2 linked regions of the Elephas maximus indicus genome follow. The protein of the gene in region 2 purifies or fractionates together with the protein of the main gene of each other region. This does not show direct contact. Links are inferred from orthologs where the notes say so. Each region holds a gene or a part of one and is shown on either strand. Other genes may lie near its edges.

What was found.
Region 1: the proteins of CHM (region 2) and RABGGTA purify together in Homo sapiens (co-immunoprecipitation; 4 studies listed by BioGRID and IntAct, counting the BioPlex papers as one, with this or other methods). This does not show direct contact. The link is inferred for Elephas maximus indicus from reciprocal best matches to the Homo sapiens genes CHM and RABGGTA.

Annotation. Positions count from the first base shown.
Region 1 is NC_064828.1:35,621,837-35,631,408, forward strand, and holds the start of RABGGTA (geranylgeranyl transferase type-2 subunit alpha), read right to left. Parts: upstream 3,713-9,572; 5' UTR 3,617-3,712; intron 1-3,616. UniProt on the Homo sapiens protein: Catalyzes the transfer of a geranylgeranyl moiety from geranylgeranyl diphosphate to both cysteines of Rab proteins with the C-terminal sequence -XXCC, -XCXC and -CCXX, such as RAB1A, RAB3A, RAB5A and RAB7A.
Region 2 is NC_064846.1:78,960,789-78,970,120, reverse strand, and holds the start of CHM (rab proteins geranylgeranyltransferase component A 1), read right to left. Parts: upstream 3,708-9,332; 5' UTR 3,687-3,707; coding exon 3,638-3,686; intron 1-3,637. UniProt on the Homo sapiens protein: Substrate-binding subunit of the Rab geranylgeranyltransferase (GGTase) complex.

The sequences.
Region 1 (9,572 bases), on a different chromosome or scaffold from region 2:
ATACATATTCAGAAGCCTGTGGATATTACCTGGATGTCGCAGAGACACCTCAAACTCCAAATATCAGAAAGGTATCATGGTCTCCCCTCCTCCATCCCATCTAAACTTTGGCCTTTTATGTTTCCTAATTTTTTTTTTTTAATGTAGAGAATGGAGCCCTGGTGGCACAGTGGTTAAAAAGAGCTCAGCTCTAACCGAAAGGTCAGCAGTTCAAATCCACCAGCCTGGAAACTCCATGGGACAGTTATACTCTGTCCTAGAGAGTCCCTAGGAGTCAGAATCGACTTGATGGCAGTGGAGTTTTTGGTATGGTAGTGAATGGCACTATTCCCTCTCCACTTCTCCTTGTGATTGTTGTTAGCTGCAGTGGAGTCAACCCCCAACTCGTGGTAGGACAGGTCCCCAGGCTTTGGAAAATTCCACTACCTCAAGCAGCTTGCTTGACACACTGTAGCTTTTCCCCTTTCCTTAACTGCTGCCCAAAACTAGAGGAAATTGGCAGAAACAGGTTTAGACACCATGTTGACATTCAGGATAATCTTTTAGCTCATTAAGTACCTCATACATAGTAACTTCCTCGCCTCTGGATGGTGTTTAACTGCCATTTTCTGAACAAGCGATGCATGAAGTTATATGTAAACCCCATTGTGCCTGTGTAGTATGATTAAGAGTGTTGCTGATGTAACATGTATGAACTTCCTGCTTGTAAACCCCAAAAAAGTAATCCTCCCTCTCACCCTCACTAAGCGGCCTTGGCAGCAGCAGCCCCAACTGTCCCTTTCCTTGCGCAATGAAATAAAAGCATTGTCTTAGTCACCTAGTGCTGCTATAACAGAAATACCACAAGTGGATGGTTTTAACAAAGAGAAATGTCCTCACAGTAAAGTAGGCTAAAAGTCCAAATTCAGGGTGTCAGCTCCAGGGGACGGCTTTCTCTCCCTTTGGGCTCCTGAGGAACATTCCTTGTCCTCAAACTTCCCCTGGTCGAGGAGCTTCTCAGGCACAGGAACCCTGGGTCCAAAGGACGTGCTCTGTTCCCTGGTGCTTCATTCTTGGTAGTATGAGGTCCCCAACTCTCTGCTTGCTTCCCTTTCTTTTTACCGCTTGAGAGAGAAAAGGTGGTGCAGGCCACACCCCAGGGAAACTCCCTTTACCTTGGATCAGGGAGGTGACCTGAGTAAAGGTGGTGTTACAATCCCACCCTAATCCTCTTAACATACAATTACAATCACAAAATGGAGGACAACCACACAATACTGGAAATCATGGCCTAACCAAGTTAACACATATTTTTTGGGGAATACAATTCAATCCATCACAAACACCTTTCTGATCTTCCACTTTGGTCTCTTGTTTATTGGCTGAGACGGGTCGCACCAAATAAAACCTGGGCTTTCCACCCAGCAACAATGGGGACCCTGTGAACAATGATATTAGGTCATTGCGATTTATAGGGTTTTCATTGGCTGATTTTCAGAAATATATTATCTGGCCTTTCTTCCTAGTCTGTCTTAGTCTGAAATCTCCACTGAAACTTGTTCAGCATCATAGCAACAGGCAAGCCTCCACTGTCAGATGCTTGAGGTGTATTGGCCAGGAATTGAACCCGGGCCTACCACATGGAAGGTGAGAATTTTGCCACTGAACCACCACTGCCTTCCTACTTCTTAATATTTTGTAAATATCTTTTCCATTCCCACTGCCACTAAGAGTTCAAGCTCCTCATTTCTTCCCTGGATTATTGAAAGTCTTCCTGCTGGTCCCCCGTCTCAACCCGTCTCCTCTATTATCAAATCTCTGTGCTATTGCTGGATCAATCTTTCTAAAACAGATTTGATCACATCACATCTCTGTTTAAAAGCCTTCCCTAGCTCCTGAAAGCTTTTCAAGACAGAGTTTGAATCTTTCAACTTAGCCCTGCCCACACTCTCTTCTTATTTCTTGCCTCTGTCAGTTAAAAACCCCTCAATCCAACCCTTTAGAACTACTACTTGCAGTTTCCCGAATATGTTGATCTGTTTCCTCTGTGTGACTCTCCTTTCTCCACATCCCTTCTTTGCCAGGTTAACTTCTGTTCATCTTTAAGATTTAACTCAAGAGTCATCTCCAGGAAATTCTCCAAAATGCCCCAGTCTGACTTGATTGCCCTTCATCTGTGCTGTCAAAGATAGTGCTTATTTCCCTGCACCTACTGTAACCCTTGGTTTGTGTGCAGGCATCACCTATCAGACTGAATGTTCCTGGAGGAACATTTTTTTGTCTTACCTCCCCAGTACCTAGCCCAGGTTCTTAGTAGTTATTTGAATGGATGAACAAAACACCATACAGTGAGGGCTGGCATGGCCGGGCCTGATGGTGAGAAATGTTGACTTTTAGGAATGGGAGCAATCCACATGGCCTATACCAATTCAGAAAAACTCAAGCTGGCCAGTGTGTGTGTGTGTGTTAATGCAACCAAGACAGTCTGGCTGAATTGTGAGTGTGTGGACTCCTGGGCTGTGTGATTGAGTGTGTGTGTGTTAGGTTTTTATGAGAAGTGCATGTCCGTATTGCATGTATATGTTTATAACCCACATCTGGGTCAGAAAGTATGGCTTTTAATCTTTGTATTGCCTCCACACCTTTCTTGGCCCCTGGAAATGTCTGTGAAGTGCCCACTATGTCCTTTTCTATGCCCTTTTCTAGACCCTGTAGCAAATTACAAAGGAAAAGAGACACTCTTCCTGGGCACATGTACTTGCAGTCCAAGTGAGGAAAGAGGTGCGCTCTTCATTGGGAGCAGCACATATACAAGGTGTGTGCACACACACATGATTTTACAAGTGGGAGGCAGGAAGCAGAGTGGTTAAGAACATGGGCTCTGGAGTCGGACCGCCTATGTGCAAATCCAGGCATTGCCACTCACTAGCTGTGTGACCTGGGGTAGTTACTCAACCTCTATGTGTCTTAGTTTCTTCAACAGAAATACAGGACAAATAATATTACCTGCCTGGTAGGCTTGAAGTGAAGATAAAATAATCTATATGAAGTGGTTACTTAGAACAGCATCTGCCACTGAGTAAGAGCTCAGTAAATGGTAATAATGAGGGTGATGATGATGATTTCTAATCTTCATGACAAACCTGCACGGAAACTGAGGCTCAGAAACATTAAGTAACTTTCTGAGGGCCAAATGGAATCTATGTCTGATCTGGTCCCGTCCTCCCACTTCACTATCTGCTTTTTTTTTTTTTTTTTTAGGTCACCATCTGCTCTTACTCCTTGCTCTAACACATTCATGTACAACCAGATACCAGGGAACACAGATGTCCACAGATGTAGATTTTTCAGGTAGGGGCTTACATCATAGTCACCAAGGGAGAAAAATCACAGTCACTGAGGGAGGAAGAAAGAGGGTGGATGAAGGCAGAAGTAGGCAAGAAATATCCTGGGATGATTAGCAATCTTGAAATCAGGAAGGTTGAGTCAAGTAGGCTTCAGAGAGGAAGTGAGTCTCAAAAAAAATGTGCCTCCGAGAGGGTAGGGCCTGGGTGTGGGGAAGAGAGGGCAGGAAGAGCATTTCAGGCAGGTACAATGATGACGTGATGGTGGGAGAGAGAACGCCAGACAGACTTACCGGCTGGCTGATCCAGGTGTCTCTGGAGATAAGAGCAGTGGAACTCAGGACAAGCCTCTTGCTTTAAGGCAAAAGGGGCTGTCAGGAGTTATTTTGGGCTTCCTGTATGGGATAAGTGGGAGCCATGCAGGTGTCTGAGGGCCATGATCTGAGGAAAGGAGTTTACTGCTCTCAATGTAGAGAAAGGAAAAAGCAATGACTGAGTATCGACTAAGCCCCAGATATCTTTTTTGATGGACCCACCAACTATGTGAAGTAGATATGATTACCCATATTTTATAATGAAGAGACAGTGCATACAGTGGGTTCACAGAGGTTAAGTAGCTTGCCTAAGGTCACACAGCTCAGAGGCAACAGGGCCAGAAATCAGATAAAAGCTTGGGTGTCTGTCTACTGCATAGGTGGGGGTGGCCAGTGCCAGAAGCTCAAATTTGAGCTTCTTGAGACCTAGAACCTTGGTGTCACCTCATGCTGACGGCCTCTTCCGCTGCCAAACCCTTTCTTTCTCTCCTTCCCCTCTCCAACACACACACACACACACACACACACACACACACACACAAACACACACACACAGTTTCGGTGCCTCTAGGATCCTGAGCCAATCACTGACCAGAGAAGGTTTGGAGGGAGGAAATGAGTCATCAGCTCTGGGTCAGGGCCCCATCAAAGCTTGATAGAAGTCATGGTCTGGAGGTAGAAGGAGCATATAGGATCAGGTACTGGAGCTAGTGCTGGGCTGGGTGCAGGGTGTGACAGTATGTACACTCATTCACTCAACTGATATTTATTTAGAGCCAGAATTGGGCCTGACCGTGTGCTGGCTGCCTGGGATATGGTGCTGAACCAGACAGACATGTTCCCTGCTCTTCCGGAGCTTATGGTTTAGGGCAGGGCTGTCCAAGAGAACTTCCTGTGATGACGAAAATGTTCTATATCTGTGCCGTCCAATGTGGTAGCCACTAGCCACATATAGCTATTTAGCACTTGAAATATGGCTAGTGAAGCTGAGGAAATGAATCTTTTATTTTATTTAAATTTGATTACTTTAAATTTAAATAGCTTGTGACTAATAGTTAGAAAGGACAGGACAGGTCTAGTGGTTAAGACAGACATGTCAACATGTAAGCCTGAGTAGGCTAGGGGCCCACAGGTATTCAGGGGACTCAGGCTGAGTTAAGAGGGATTTGTTCTAGAACTGGTGATAGGTAATAGTTTACAATTTTTTCTTAAACTCCCAATCCTTTTTTTCTTCCTGTGAAGGTTGACAATGAAGCATAGCATATATGCTAAAAGTACATAAATCATAAGCATACAGCCCTGATCCTCCTATTTTAAAATTGCTAGTCACAGGGGTGGGGAAGGAGGTTAGTGATATACTAGAAATACAGGGAGTAGAGGTGACTGGGGGAGGAAAAACCAGTTACCCTTGAGTTAATTCCAATTCATGGAGACTCCATGTGTGTCAGAGTAGAACTGTGCTACGTAGGGTTTTCTCAAGGTTTCAAGGCTGTGACCGTCTGGAAGCAGATTGTCAGGTCTTTCTTCTGAGACAAGTCCAGTTGGATTGGAACAGTCAACCATTCAGTTAGTAGCTGAGCGCTTAAGTGTTTGCACTACCCAGGGATTCCAGCAATGTGGGGAAAGGGGCTGAAAAACCACATCCTCTGGAATATTTAGGCAGAGCCTGGAATCCAGAGCCATGTCCCCATGGCCTTGCCTGGAGGTGGGAGTGGAAGCACTATTTCTGAGGAGCTATAGGCAGGACTTGGCAGCAGGTAGGACCAAGATTCAAGGACAAAAGTGACTTTGAGATTGACTCTCAAATTGTAAAGCCAAGGGATTTGAGAATTTGTGGTGTCACAGAGGTCTTGAAACATGAGTGGAGGGAGTGAGCTTTATGTGAGATGAGAAAGAGGCACTTCTAACATGTTCGATTTTATGCGGAGATGTCCTGAAGGTAGCGAGGAATACTTGCCTGGATTGGGATTGGGAGGTGAAGGCAGCAGAGGTCAGTGTGGACATTAGGTGTGGGCAAGGAGTAATCACAGCCTGGTTGGGCAACGGGCACTCCAGGGGGGTGTGTGCCAGGGGAGGGGGGACGATGAGGGTGCCAACAAACAAGCTTTGGCAGAGTCATGTTGAGGGCAGGGCTGAGGGTGTGAGGTGAAGAAGCCTCAGCAGAGAAGCAAAGGAAGAAATAGACTACAAAAAGAAAAAAGATTCTGTGACCTTGAAGCTAATATTGATGAGAAATCACTATGATTAAATGCTTTACCGACATAATGACAAGAAACCGAGACTCTGTCCAGGGTCACATGGCTTGTAAGTGATACAGCCTGGCTCACACCAGTTCCAGAAGACACTCTTAATAACTTTCCCTCCAACCTCACCTTGCCTGCTGTGCTCTGCTGCACCCGGCAAAGGCAGAAGGTATGAGGATGACAGGGACTGTGTGAAGAGTGTGGAGGGGACTTGAGACTTCCAGGAAGCTGGAGGTAGGTATGTTGGGGGGAGCCAGCAAGGGGAATTCAGGCCCAATGATCTGGATCTTCTTGGAGCTGTAAATCATCAGATTATCAAGTGATTAACCAAAACCCAAACCCAATACCATCAAGTCAGTTCCGACTCATAGAGACCCTAAAAGACAGGACAGAACTACCCCACAGGGTTTCAGCAGTGCCTGGTGGATTCAGACTCCTGAAATTTCAGTTAGCAGCCGTAGCTCTTAACCACTATGCCACCAGGGTTTCCAATCAAGTGATTGGATTTTAGAAATTCGAATGGGGACTAAGATACAATTATTGGTCTCTGCGAGTCTGAAGCAAAAGAGAAAGAAGGAAACCAAAGTCTCAAAGAAGAAACTAGCCTATAGGACCAATAGTCTACACAAACTATGCCCTTACCTACCTTGAGGCCAGAAGAACTAGATGGTGCCCAGCTACCACTACCTACCGTTCTGACCAGGGACACAATAGATAGTCCTGGAGAAAATGGGGGGGGCGGGGACAAAACTCAAGTTCCTGAAAAAGACCAGACTTACTGCACCAGTGAAGACTAGAGGGAGTAGAAACTATCGGCCTGGAATACCCCTTAAACCTGGGACTCAAACCACTCCCAGAAGTCACCTATCAGCCAAAAGACATAATGGCCCCCAAAATAAACGGCATCACCCATGAGTACTGTGTTTCTCTAAACAATCATATAAATGAGACCTAACAGTCAACATTTACCCTAAACCAAATATGAGAAGGTAAGAGAGGACAAGGAAGCTGGATGAATGGAAACAGAACAACAGAATGGAAATAATGAGAATGCTGACACGTTGTGAAAAGTGTAACCAATGTATAATATGTATAGAAATTGTTAAATGAGAACCTAATGTAAATTTTCTCCAAAATCACAATAAAATATTTAAAGAAAGAAAATTGGATCGGGAGCACTCTAGGGGCTTGAGGGGAAGAGAAATGTCGAGAAGAGGGAAGGTCAGCATGAGTTACGGGAAAGGAAATGAAAGGAAATGACAGGGTGCCTACGGTACGGTGATAAGTGAGAGCTGAAGCTCACCTCTGCATGGGCGCAAGTGCCCAGTTGTCATCTCTTGTTGCAACACAGGCTCTCCTCTGCCCCCAGTTTCCTGATTCTTTCTCTCTTACCTGACCACCACAAAACATGACGTCAGAGCTGGAGAGGGCTTGCTGGATCATCTCGCTCACGCTCATTTTCCAGCAGCCCAGAGGTATTCAGTAACATGAAGTCACATAACAGAGGTGGCTGGAGCCCGGGTTCCTGAATGATATCATACCTCTTAGATGTTTAGGAACAAAATGTTGAAATGTGAGTGGGATGATAGGATGTAGATATAATTTATCCCTGAATTAATGCTGAGTATCTTTGCCAGCCTGGAGGGAGGTCGCTTCTGGTGGTATTTTTTCAGTGACATGTTGGATAAGGACATAGATGCCATTCTCAAAATTGGAGATAACTGAGAGGCGGGGCAAAGATGGTGGAATAGCCAGATGCTTCTAGCGATCCCTCTTACAACAAAGACCCAAAAAAACAAGTGAAATGATTATATTTATGACAAGCTAGGAGCCCTGGACATCAAAGGCAAAGTTAGAAAATGGACTGAGTGGCAGGGGGAGGGAGAGACAGTTCAGAGGTAGAGCAGAGTTGCTGCACCTGAATTGCCGGGAACCCTCAGGCACCATTCCCGGGGGCGGCTGCAGTGGGCTGGTGGTAGCATTCAGCCACAGTTTCCTCAGGAAGAAGCGCAGTCGCACAGCCTACTCACACCTCTGGAACCAGAGAAGAATGGCGCTCTCAGCAAAAGCTAAGTACTTGCATATACTTTACTGTGCCCCCTGCCCCCAAGCTGGCTTCAGTGGCTGTTGATTTCCCTGGGCCTGAAATGGGTCCTACTGAGCACCCAGAGCCATCTTTCCGGCCTTGGAGTAGGAATAAATTCACAATTGGGGGAAAAGATAATTTGCCAGCTCCACTAACCGGGGTATCTCAGGGCAGAAGCGGCTCCCGTCCAAGCATAAATGGTTCATGGACTTTGAATAACTTTCCCCCCTGCATGGACCTATGCAGGCCTGTTTCAGGAGAATAGGCCCTTGTTGGCAGACTGCAACTGTTTCAGCTGTTTGGTGGAGAGGTGGGTGTTTGATATTTGATAACACTTTGCCTATTAAACAGGGTCCTCACCCACATCAGGAGCATAAGGACTGGTGGCTCCACTCAGGTCACCCAGCCACCTGTGACAGGGGTCCAAGGATAACTGGTACCTCTTAGCCCTTACAACCAAAAGCATTGGATGCCCATGGTCTATCTGCAGAGCCCGCCCACCTGTACACTATAGGGAACAGGGATGTGCTTTCCTCACAGACACATGGGGGATGGTTCTCAGCCCCCTCCCTTGTTCAGAGCGTGACCCCCCCCCGCTGCAACCAGACACTGGTACCTACATGAATCACTCCTGCCCCCTTAAGACTGTAGGATAAAGCCTGTACCACACACTTGTTGACCAGGTACCTGGACACTTGAGCTGAATTCATACAAGAAAAGTGAACGGACTCCTAGACTGATATACCTGATAACACCTCTAGCCATATGGTGACAGGATGTCAGCGCTTCAAAGGCAAAAACAAGCTAGCTCACTCTAGCAGCCCATTTGGGCATATCAAAACAAAACAAAGCAAGAAGCTAGGACACAGTAAGCAAAGATAACATAAACTAATTCAATAACTTACAGATGGCTTGGAGACAACAGTAAATACCAAGTAATGTAAAGAAAGAGACCATGATTACCTCAACAAGCTCTCAAAACAAAGAATCAAGGGATCTTCTGGATGAAGGTGCCTTCCTGGAATTACTGGACACAGAATTCAAAATATTAATATACACAACTCTTCAAGACATCAGGATCAAGATTAGGAAGGAGATCAGGCAATATGCAGAAAAAGCAGAGGAACACACAGATAAAGCAGTTGAAGAAATTAAAAAGATTATTCAAGAATATAATGAAAAATTTCATAAGCTGCAAGAATCCATATAGAGACAGCTATCAGAAATTCAGAAGATTAACAATAAAAGTACAGAATTAGACAACTCAATAGAAAGTCAAAGGAGCAGAATTGAGCAAGTGGGAGGCAGAATTGGTGAGATTGAGGATAAAGCACTTGGCACCAATATATTTGAAAAAAAAATCAGATAAAGGAGAAGCATTTAAAAAAAATGAAGAAAACTTAAGAATCATGTGGGATTCTATCAAGAGAAATAACCTATGAGTGATTGGAGTACCAGAACAGGGAGGGATAACAGAAAATACAGAGAGAATTCTTGAAGATTTGTTGGCACAAAACTTTCCCGGTATCGTGAAAGATGAGAAGATATCTATCCAAGATGCTCATCAGACTCCACATAAGGTAGGTTTTAAAAGAAAGTCACCAAG
Region 2 (9,332 bases):
ATTTTCAAAAAAAAAAAAAAAGTTTTTTTAAGCATCCATTTTGATAGAAATTTTTTCAAATATATTCAACACTGACTTCTTAAAAAGACTATACAGAACAGAATCCAGCCTTTTCCACAACTAGATGGTGCCTGGCTACCACCACCAACTGCCCTGACAGTGATCACAACAGAGGGTCCTGGACAGGGCAAGAGATAAATGTAGAATGAAATTCTAACTCACACAAAAAAGACCAGACTTACTGGTCTGACTGAGAGGAGAAACCCCGAGAGTATGGCCCCCAGACCCCCTTATAACTCAGTACTAAAGTTACTCCTGAGGTTCACGCTTCAGTCAAAGATTAGACAGGCCCATAAAACAAAATGAGACTAAATGGGCACACCAACCTAGGGCAAAGGACTAGAAGACAGGAGGGGACAGGAAAGCTGGTAAAGGGGAACCCAAGGTCCAGAAGGGAGAGTGCTGACATGTCGTGTGGTTGGCAATCAATGTCACAAAACAATGAGTATTAATTGTTTAATGAGAAATTAATTTACTCTGAAAACTTTCATCTGAAGCACAATTTTAATAAAATCAGCCTTTTCTTGATGACACAGGGTCATAATTATGCACACACAATGGTAAATTTTCGAGCTGGTAGAACCCTACCTTAGAAATCCCCTAATTCAAATCTCCCACTTTATGTATGAGCTGAAATCCCAAGAGGTTATGCAATTTTCCCAAGGTTACACAGGGGGAAGGTCAAGCAATTACCATTAAACCATGTTGCCACATCTATTATTATACTATACTGAGCACCATCTAGCAAGGCAGTCAAGATTTAGGGCCGTAACCCTTGTAAGCTTCCCCATGTTTGTTATTTTTTATCCCATCTCTTTACCCATATCTTTAGTATTGTTGTTGTTGCTGTATGCCATTGAGTCGATTCTAGCTCATAGCAACCTTATAATCCTTAGTAGTAAAACTCTTAAATCAACTAGGATCTATGTGTTCACCCTCTGCAAGAAAAAAATTAAGCTAGCTTACTCCACAGCCCATTTTAGGGGAAGAACTCCAGAAGATAAAGTGACTGATGTGTTTTAAAAAGGAAAACGATGCAGACTAGATCTCTAAATGGCCTGCAGAAAGCAAGAAGGACGTGATGAAAAGCTCACATAGGCTTAAGAACAGCTTTGGGGGTGTGACTGTCAGAAGTCCAAACAATTCCTGAGTATTGACAATACAGTAACCTTCACAAGGGCAGGGACTAGGTTCTCAATAAACATGGTTTGAATATCCTGAGAAATGAGTGGTTGTCACTAGCCTAAATAATCCCAGGCTGTTATGGATTGAATAGTGTCCCCAAAAAATATATGTTGTGCATCATTACCTCTATGCCTATGGTTAGTCTTGCAAAATTCTAACCAGACTAACCGCAGGCATAGAGGTTATGATGTACAACACATATTTTTGGGGGGGTGGGGGGGACAATTCAATCCATAACAGCCTGGGATTATTTAGTGTAGTGAATTTTGCAAGATGAATGACTTCTTCATTGAAAATACATTTTTCAGCAACAGAAAGGCCAGCTATACACACGGACCTTGCCAGATGGAATACACAGGAATCAAATCAACTACATCTGTGGAAAGAGACTATGGAGAAGCTCAATATCATCAGTCAGAACAAGGCCAGGGGTGGACTGCAGAACAGGCCATCAACTGCTCATATGCGAGTTCAAGTTGAAGCTGAAGAAAATTAGAGCAAGTCTATGAGAGCCAAAATACAACCTTGAGTATATCCCACCTGAATTTAGAGATCATCTCAAGATTAGATTTGATACATTGGATGCTAATGGCCGAAGACCAGACTACTTGTGGGAGGACATTATACATGAAGAAAGCAAAAGGTCACTAAAAAGACAGGAAAGAAAGAAAAGACCAAAATGGATGGATTCCTAGACAACCAAAAAGAAAGGCAAGTGTGGTAATAACAGCTATTCTAAAACGGATTTTTTTTCTCAGTTTTAGAAGAGAATGGAGGGAATAAATGAATATTCAATTGGCTCCTTCCAGCTTTCATCCAACGTCTGCTCACAGCTGGGTTATCTGCACCTGCAGTTGTTTTCAAGTTGGGAATAACATGTCCCTGTTGTTCTGAGAACAATTACCTAGGTACAACGAGTATAAAAGGCTTTCTGGTTAGACAACACATTAAAAGCTACTAGTTTACCCTCCCTACACTCACAAATATGAAAAATCAGGCTCAGAGAGATTAAAGTGCTTGAACCTCCCTCAAAGTCACACAGCAAGGTAAAAGCCAAGCAAATTCTAGAACCAAGTTTTTCCAATGACCTCTACTAATCTGGGTTAACTCTGAGGATCAGAACCACTGATTCTCCTTCTGCTATGACATGGGCCTTTGGAAATTTACCAGCTGCGTGATCATGAGCAAATTATAGCCTTTCTAATCCTCCTTTTCCTCTTCTGTAAAATGTAGAGAATAATACCTACTCTAACAGGGTTGCTGTCAGAATTACATAAGGTTTGTCAAGTGCTTAGCTGGCACATCGACTAGCAAATAATAATCATTCACACAAAAAAAAGTAGCTATAATTTTTACTCCCACCCTAAAAACATGGCTGCTCCTACAGTTTGAAAAGACAACGAACGGAATTCATCAACACAATGGGCCCAATACCCCAGAGCCTACTACATTCCGCAGACGGGAGTAAACCCCACCCAACAACCTCTTTCACCCCATCTAAAACCCACCCTCTAACCAGTTAAGAAAAACAAAATGTCAATTGATTCCACACGTCCGCTGCCACACGTTGTATGTTGAATTTGCCAACTAGAAATTGCAGGGGGGTTTCTGGCTCCACCCAAAACATGGAGAACAAATGAATGATTAGCAAGGGGACAATAAGGTCACAGACCTGAACTGGAACTCACAAAAGCTTGTTCTCAGCATATCTGGTTGTGCGTGGATAGGTGGATGATAGAAAGCAGAATGGTTTTTTTCAGTACCGTAAAGCAGGAATAATGGCTGCCTCAACAAAATACAATTTCCTAGGCTGCTCAACACAATAGAGAAAAAAAAATCCGTTTCCCTGCCCTAATAAATTAATACGTACATGGGCAACAACTGAGCATCTTTCTTGCAAAACTGAGGATTAAGCTGTAACCGAGCAATTTTTAACTGCACGACACCCTATAATCATATAAAGATACGAAAAAAGTCCTATGAAACGACGAAACAAAAGGAATGAGGAATATCACGTTGAACTCAACAAGGAGTGAATCGTAATGTCATGTCAAAGGCGTATGCATGGATAAAATCCCGACCCTCCGTCCTCATGACACTGCAAACCCACCTCCCTTTAAGGAAATTACAGGAATCAGCCGCAGCAACCAACCTCAACAATCGGCATCGACCAGATATACCCCTACTCAGATGTCGCTAAGCACCGCGGGTCCAAGCCCCTCCCTGGAGCTTGCCAAGTCCCGCGCTGACTCCAGAATACCTCACTTCCTTCCCGTCCGCCCTCCCAAACTCGACCCCCGGCGTTTCTCGCTAACTCTCGTCACTGACAAAGAAGGCAGGAATGAGACAGGCATCCCACATTTAGTCCGTGGAGTACTAGGGCCACACATACCCGTCCCTATTACGATCACATCAAATTCCGAAGGGAGATTATTCGCCATCTTTACAGGAAACGTGTCATGTGACTACTGCTTGTGGAAATGAAATCAAGTTAAGCGTTCCCACGGTGGAAGGCGGAAGGGAAAACTCTGCATTCTGGGTATTGTAGTTCTTGAGTGAAGGCCCAGGTAGACGGCTGCAGCGTTATATTTGCGATTTTTACGCAAATGTTGCAAGCTCGATTTACTTTCCAGGCTTTATGAAGCAGTGCATTTAGGCTGGAGGCTTGGGGTAGGAAAGAGATGCAGATTTGTATTCCGATGGCTAGGATGAATGTGAGAAGACCTGGGTACTCCTTAACTAAGATAAAGAAAGAAGTGTTCGGAGACCCAAAAGGCAGAATGAAGTTGCGAGGGAATTGTTCTGTGAACAAGAGAGGTTATCATTCCAGCCTGGAAAACCGTTTCCCCAGTGTGTCTGTGCTTTCGTTTTGGCCCTCGTGGCATAATTTTTCACACCGATGTTGTTAGCTGGGCTGAGTCTCCTACTGCCAATCTTTTTGGTCTCTTATGTCTCCCCATTGAAACCTATTTAAAAAAAAATCGTTGTGAAGTCTATTGCCACGCATTGTGACACTATAGGACAGAGTAGAACTGTCCCATAGTGTTTCCAAGGCTGCAGTCTTTACCGAAGCACATTGCCATATCTTTCTCCCGCGCCCAGCTAGTGTGTCCGACAGCTGCTAATCTTTCCGTTAGCAGCCCAGCGAAGCGCTTAACCACTGCAGCACCAAGGGCTCGTTCCCCAATAAGCCTCCCCACCACACCCCCCCCCATAAACCCTTCGCCTTAGTTTCACCAGGAGCCCTGGTGGCACAGTGGTTAAAGGACTTAGCTGCAAACCGGAAAGTCTGAGGTTCCATCCGCTAGCTGCTCTGCAGGAGAAAGATGTGGCAGTCTGTTTCCACAAAGACTGCAGCCTTGGAAACTCTATTGGGCAGTTCCACTCTGTCCTGTAGGGTCGCTGTGAATCAAAATCCACTCCACGGTAAAAGGTTTTGGTTTAGTTTCACCAGAATGAAAACCTCACCGCGTGGTATTTATTCTAGTTAGGCCGAACAGCCACCCTGGCGATATATATTTGCAAAATTAGCCTAGCTTTACATGAAGGTAAAATTATACGAAAGCATAGTAGATGTTTGATAAGCGTTTGTTGAATTCGAATCTGAGTTTCTATATGTGTAAGATGAGTCCTTATATGATTCTCCTAATAAGCTACTACAGAAATGGTCACGGTGAAATGGCCTTTACATTAAAGTCATCGTATTCGATTAGGGTTATGAGTTGGAATCGACTCGACGGCAATGGGTTTGAGTTTTTTGTTTGTTTATGAGTGGTCTAGGAGCACTGGTGGTACAGTGGTTAAGCACTGGACTGCTACCACCAGCCGCTCTGCAGAAGAAAGGTGTGGCATTCAGCTTCCCTAAAGATTAAAAAATCCTATGGAGCAGTTCTACTCTTTTCCTATAAGGTCACTATGTGTTGGACTCAACTCGATGGCAGTGGGGTTTTTTGTTTTGTTTTGTTTTGTAGGTGGTCTATGACAAGCAGCTAACATAGCTTTCATAAGTATTTTCAAGCCCTCTCCACCCCATTTTTTAAAATGCTTTGCTGTCTGTCTGACGATACCAAAGCAAAAAAGTGAGGCTTGTGCAGGGGAGTGAGAGAATATTTTTGACCCCAGAAATTACTTAACTATTTTACTGAATAATTCAAAGAGAGGGTGCAGTGGTGAACCTGTCCTTCTCTTACACCACCTGTCCTCTTAGTTGCTTGTAGTTTGCCAGACACACTGTCATCTTTTCCATCTTCCTGAACCACCCCACACTGTCCTTTCAAAATGGAATGATCTTCCCATTCTTTAGCTAATACTTATCCTCAAGAATCAGCTCAGCTTCCACTTCCTCTTCCTTTCATTCCCTACCCATGTTGAGCTAAGGTTCTCCAATGGTGCTACCACTGTGTCATAACCTGCCATATTCACTGAAATTATTTACATTTATGTCAGTCCCTACGTAGTACACATATCCCCATGCACACACGCAAAATACACACCCAGATATACAGCAAGCTAAATTATAAGCTCCTGTATGACAGGGAGGTTCCTGGGTGGCTCAAGCAGTTTGCTATCAGCTGCTAAGCTAAAGGATGGAAGTTAGAACCCACCCAGCAGCACTGTGGAAGAAAGGCCTGGCAATCTGCTTCCATAAAGATTAAAAACCAAACCCATGCCATCCAGCCGATTCTAACTTATGGAGACACTATTAAAAAAAAAAAAACACCATTGCCATCGAGTCGATTTCGACTCACAGCGACCCTATAGGATAGAGTAGAACTGCCCCATAGTGTTTCCAAGGCTGTAATCTTTACGGAAGCAGATTGCCACATCTTTCTCCTGTAGAGCAGCTAGTGGGTTTGAACCAACGACCTTTGGGTTGGCAACCAAATGCTTTAACTGCTGCACCACCAGGGCTCCTTTCCATAAAGATTACAGCCAAGAAAACCCTGTGGAGCAGTTCTACTCTATAACGCACGGGGCCACCATGAGTCGGAATCAACTTGAAGGCGATGGCTTTGGGTTTTTTTTGTTTGTTTGTTTGTTTTTCCGGTATGACAGGGACTGTGTCTTATTTATCTTGTTACCCCTTGCATCCAACCTAAGCCTGGTGTATAGGAGGAATTCAATAAATATTTGCTGAACTGAACTTAGTTCTGACTCCCCTAATAGATGGTAAGCCTTATGAGAACAGGGACTAAGCCTTCTTCACTTTTGTATCTGCCTATCACTATCATGTGTGTCCTGCATGTCGTAGACCCTAAATACATGTTTGTTAATCTTGCTAGAACATGAAAAATCTTTAAAAATGTATTTTGCTGATTTTTTGGCTGTATTTATGTTGCATTTTACCCTGGTCATTGGCAATATGTAGTACATGTTCCATTAACTTATTTTCTTGTTCATCTTGTTGTATCGAACAATTCTTTTATGATATGGTCCTCTGATGAATATATCATGTAAAAGAGATTCCTCTGAGAAGTGAAATGTAAAATATTGTTCAGTAAATCACTCTGCTATTCATCTTGGTATGAAAAGAAAGTTTTGAGTATTCTCAGAAGTGAAATAGATCTTATCTCTGAGACTCTTACTATCAACAGTGGAAATGGAAATTAATATATTTCCCAGAGTAAACACAGGAAACTTTCTGCAATCTTCTCTAACAGTGAGAATCCATAGCATGAATGGTTAAAAATAGTAATAATGATAAATAAAAATATTTCTGTCTTACTTTGGAGATATAAGTGCATACATGTATACATATGTGTATGTATTTCTAACTTTCTAGGAAGTCAGTAGTTTTCTAACAAACACAATTACATTGTGAAGACATAACTCATTAATTCATTTATTCCTCAACTATTCATTGAGCACCTACTACATGCAAGGCACTCTTTTAGATGCTGGGGTTATAGCAATGAACAAAGCAAACAAAAATCTCCCGTCTTCATGAAGCTTACATTTAGTAAGGTAAAACAAAATAAACCTATAATTACTTTAGTGTTAATTTTCCAATCTACCCAGCCCCAATTTGAAACCCCCCTTTTTTCCCTGGGAATAAACAGTATGTCCCTCAGAGAGAGAAAATTACCAGCTTCTATTTAGCCTTCCTTCTAAAGTTATTATATGACTCACACCTTCCCTGGACATTGAAAAGATCATCACTTAAAAAAAATTTAAAGCCCCTGCATGGAGAAAATGTTCAAAATACCTTTTTCTTTCAAATGCATGTGTTGTTGTAGATATTATGTGAAGTATAGATAGACACAGGAGGTGATAATGTCAGTAAAAGAGCAGAAAGCAAAGCAGCTGAATTGCTGTCTATTCTATTATTCTAAGAAAATCTTTTGAGAGCTTAAATGTTTTATTTGGATAAGTTGCAGTACAATGAAATGATGGCTACCTAATAATTGACTATCCTGTGAAATCACTGTGCCACTAATTATGTATTTAATTGTTTCCTGAGTTGAAAAGCCATGATTCCTGGAACATCTACACTGTATTCAAGAAGTTTGCTGAACTGTAGGATCTGACGTATTATCTTTTTAAAAACCAGTAATTTAATGGTCTGTAGGCCTTTTTTTTTCTTTCTATGCCTGGCCTGTCCTTTGAGTTCCAGATACACATATCCAAGCCCTTACTGAACATCTCTGCTGAACGCGTCCAATACTGAACTCCTTAACATTCCAATCCTTAACATTCCAATCCTTAACATTCCAAACCTTAACATTCCAAACCTTCTCTTTGCCCATGTTCCATATCTTAGAAATGGGATGACCTTCTACCCAGTTACTCAAGTCAAAAGCCTAACAGTCATCCTTGATACATCACTCTCTTTCACCCTTAAACCAATTCATCAACAATTCTTGCCAGATTTATCTCAAAAAAATATACTATATGCTACAATATTGATGAAGCTTGAAGACTTTAAACTGAGTGAAATAAATCAATCACAAAAGGACAAATATTGTATGACCTTACTTACACAAAAAGATAAGAAAAGGCAAATGTATAGAGGCCAAAGTTTATTAGTGGTTACCAGGGGCAGAAGGGAGTGGAATAGGGAGGGTTATGCTTATAGAGTACTGAGTTTCAGTTTATGGGGATGGAAACATTGCATTGATTATCAGGACACAGTTATTTTCTCCTTTGAATTTCTTGTTGATACTATATTTTCACTAATGGAAGACATGCTGAATAAAGGATCAATTCCGGACCTTTGTTATGATTTATGGATTTTGATACCCATTATCTGGGATAACATATGTCTCAGCGGACCCTGAGTATTGTAAATCCTGCCGATGAGTCAATGATAAAATCTTTTTTTTTTTTTTATTTCTTGAAATTTTGCAAAACAGGAGGTAAAACATGAGGGCACCTGGCAATGACTGCACATATATTTCATTCTAGTTACCTACTTCTTATCCTTTTTATGATTTTTCATGAACCTTTTCAAAACATGATACAATGCATTCTTCCTTACTGCAAAAGCAATACTTATAGCCCAAATAAATAAAGCCAAGAGATTTTTTTATCTCAGGAAAATTACCACTGCAATGCATTTTTCATTACTGCAAAAGCACTGCTGACAAGCCAAATAAATAAAACTAAAGGAAATTGAATCTCAGAAAAATTGCTACTACTATGTATCCTTCAGAAACCCTGGTGGCGTAGTGCTACGGCTGCTAACCAAAATGTCACCAGTTTGAATCCACCAGGCGCTCCTTGGAAACTCTATGGGGAGATTCTGCTTTGTCCTATAGGGTCACTATGACTTGGAATTGACTCGATGGCAACGGGTATGTATCCTTCATTATAACAAAAGCAGTACTAACAGCTAAGAAGCAGAAACAACTACGGTGGAATGCTGCAGAACTGCTCACAGTGGTGTATTCCACCTGCTACACGTGGAAGCAATGATTAGGCCCTGTTATGAATTGAATTGTGTCCCCCATAAATATGTGTCAACTTGGCTAGGCCTTGATTCCCAGTATTGTGTGATTGTCCACCATTTTGAAATCTGATGTGATTTTCCTATGTGTCATAAATCCTACCTCTATGATGTCAATGAGGCACTATTTAATCTACAAGAT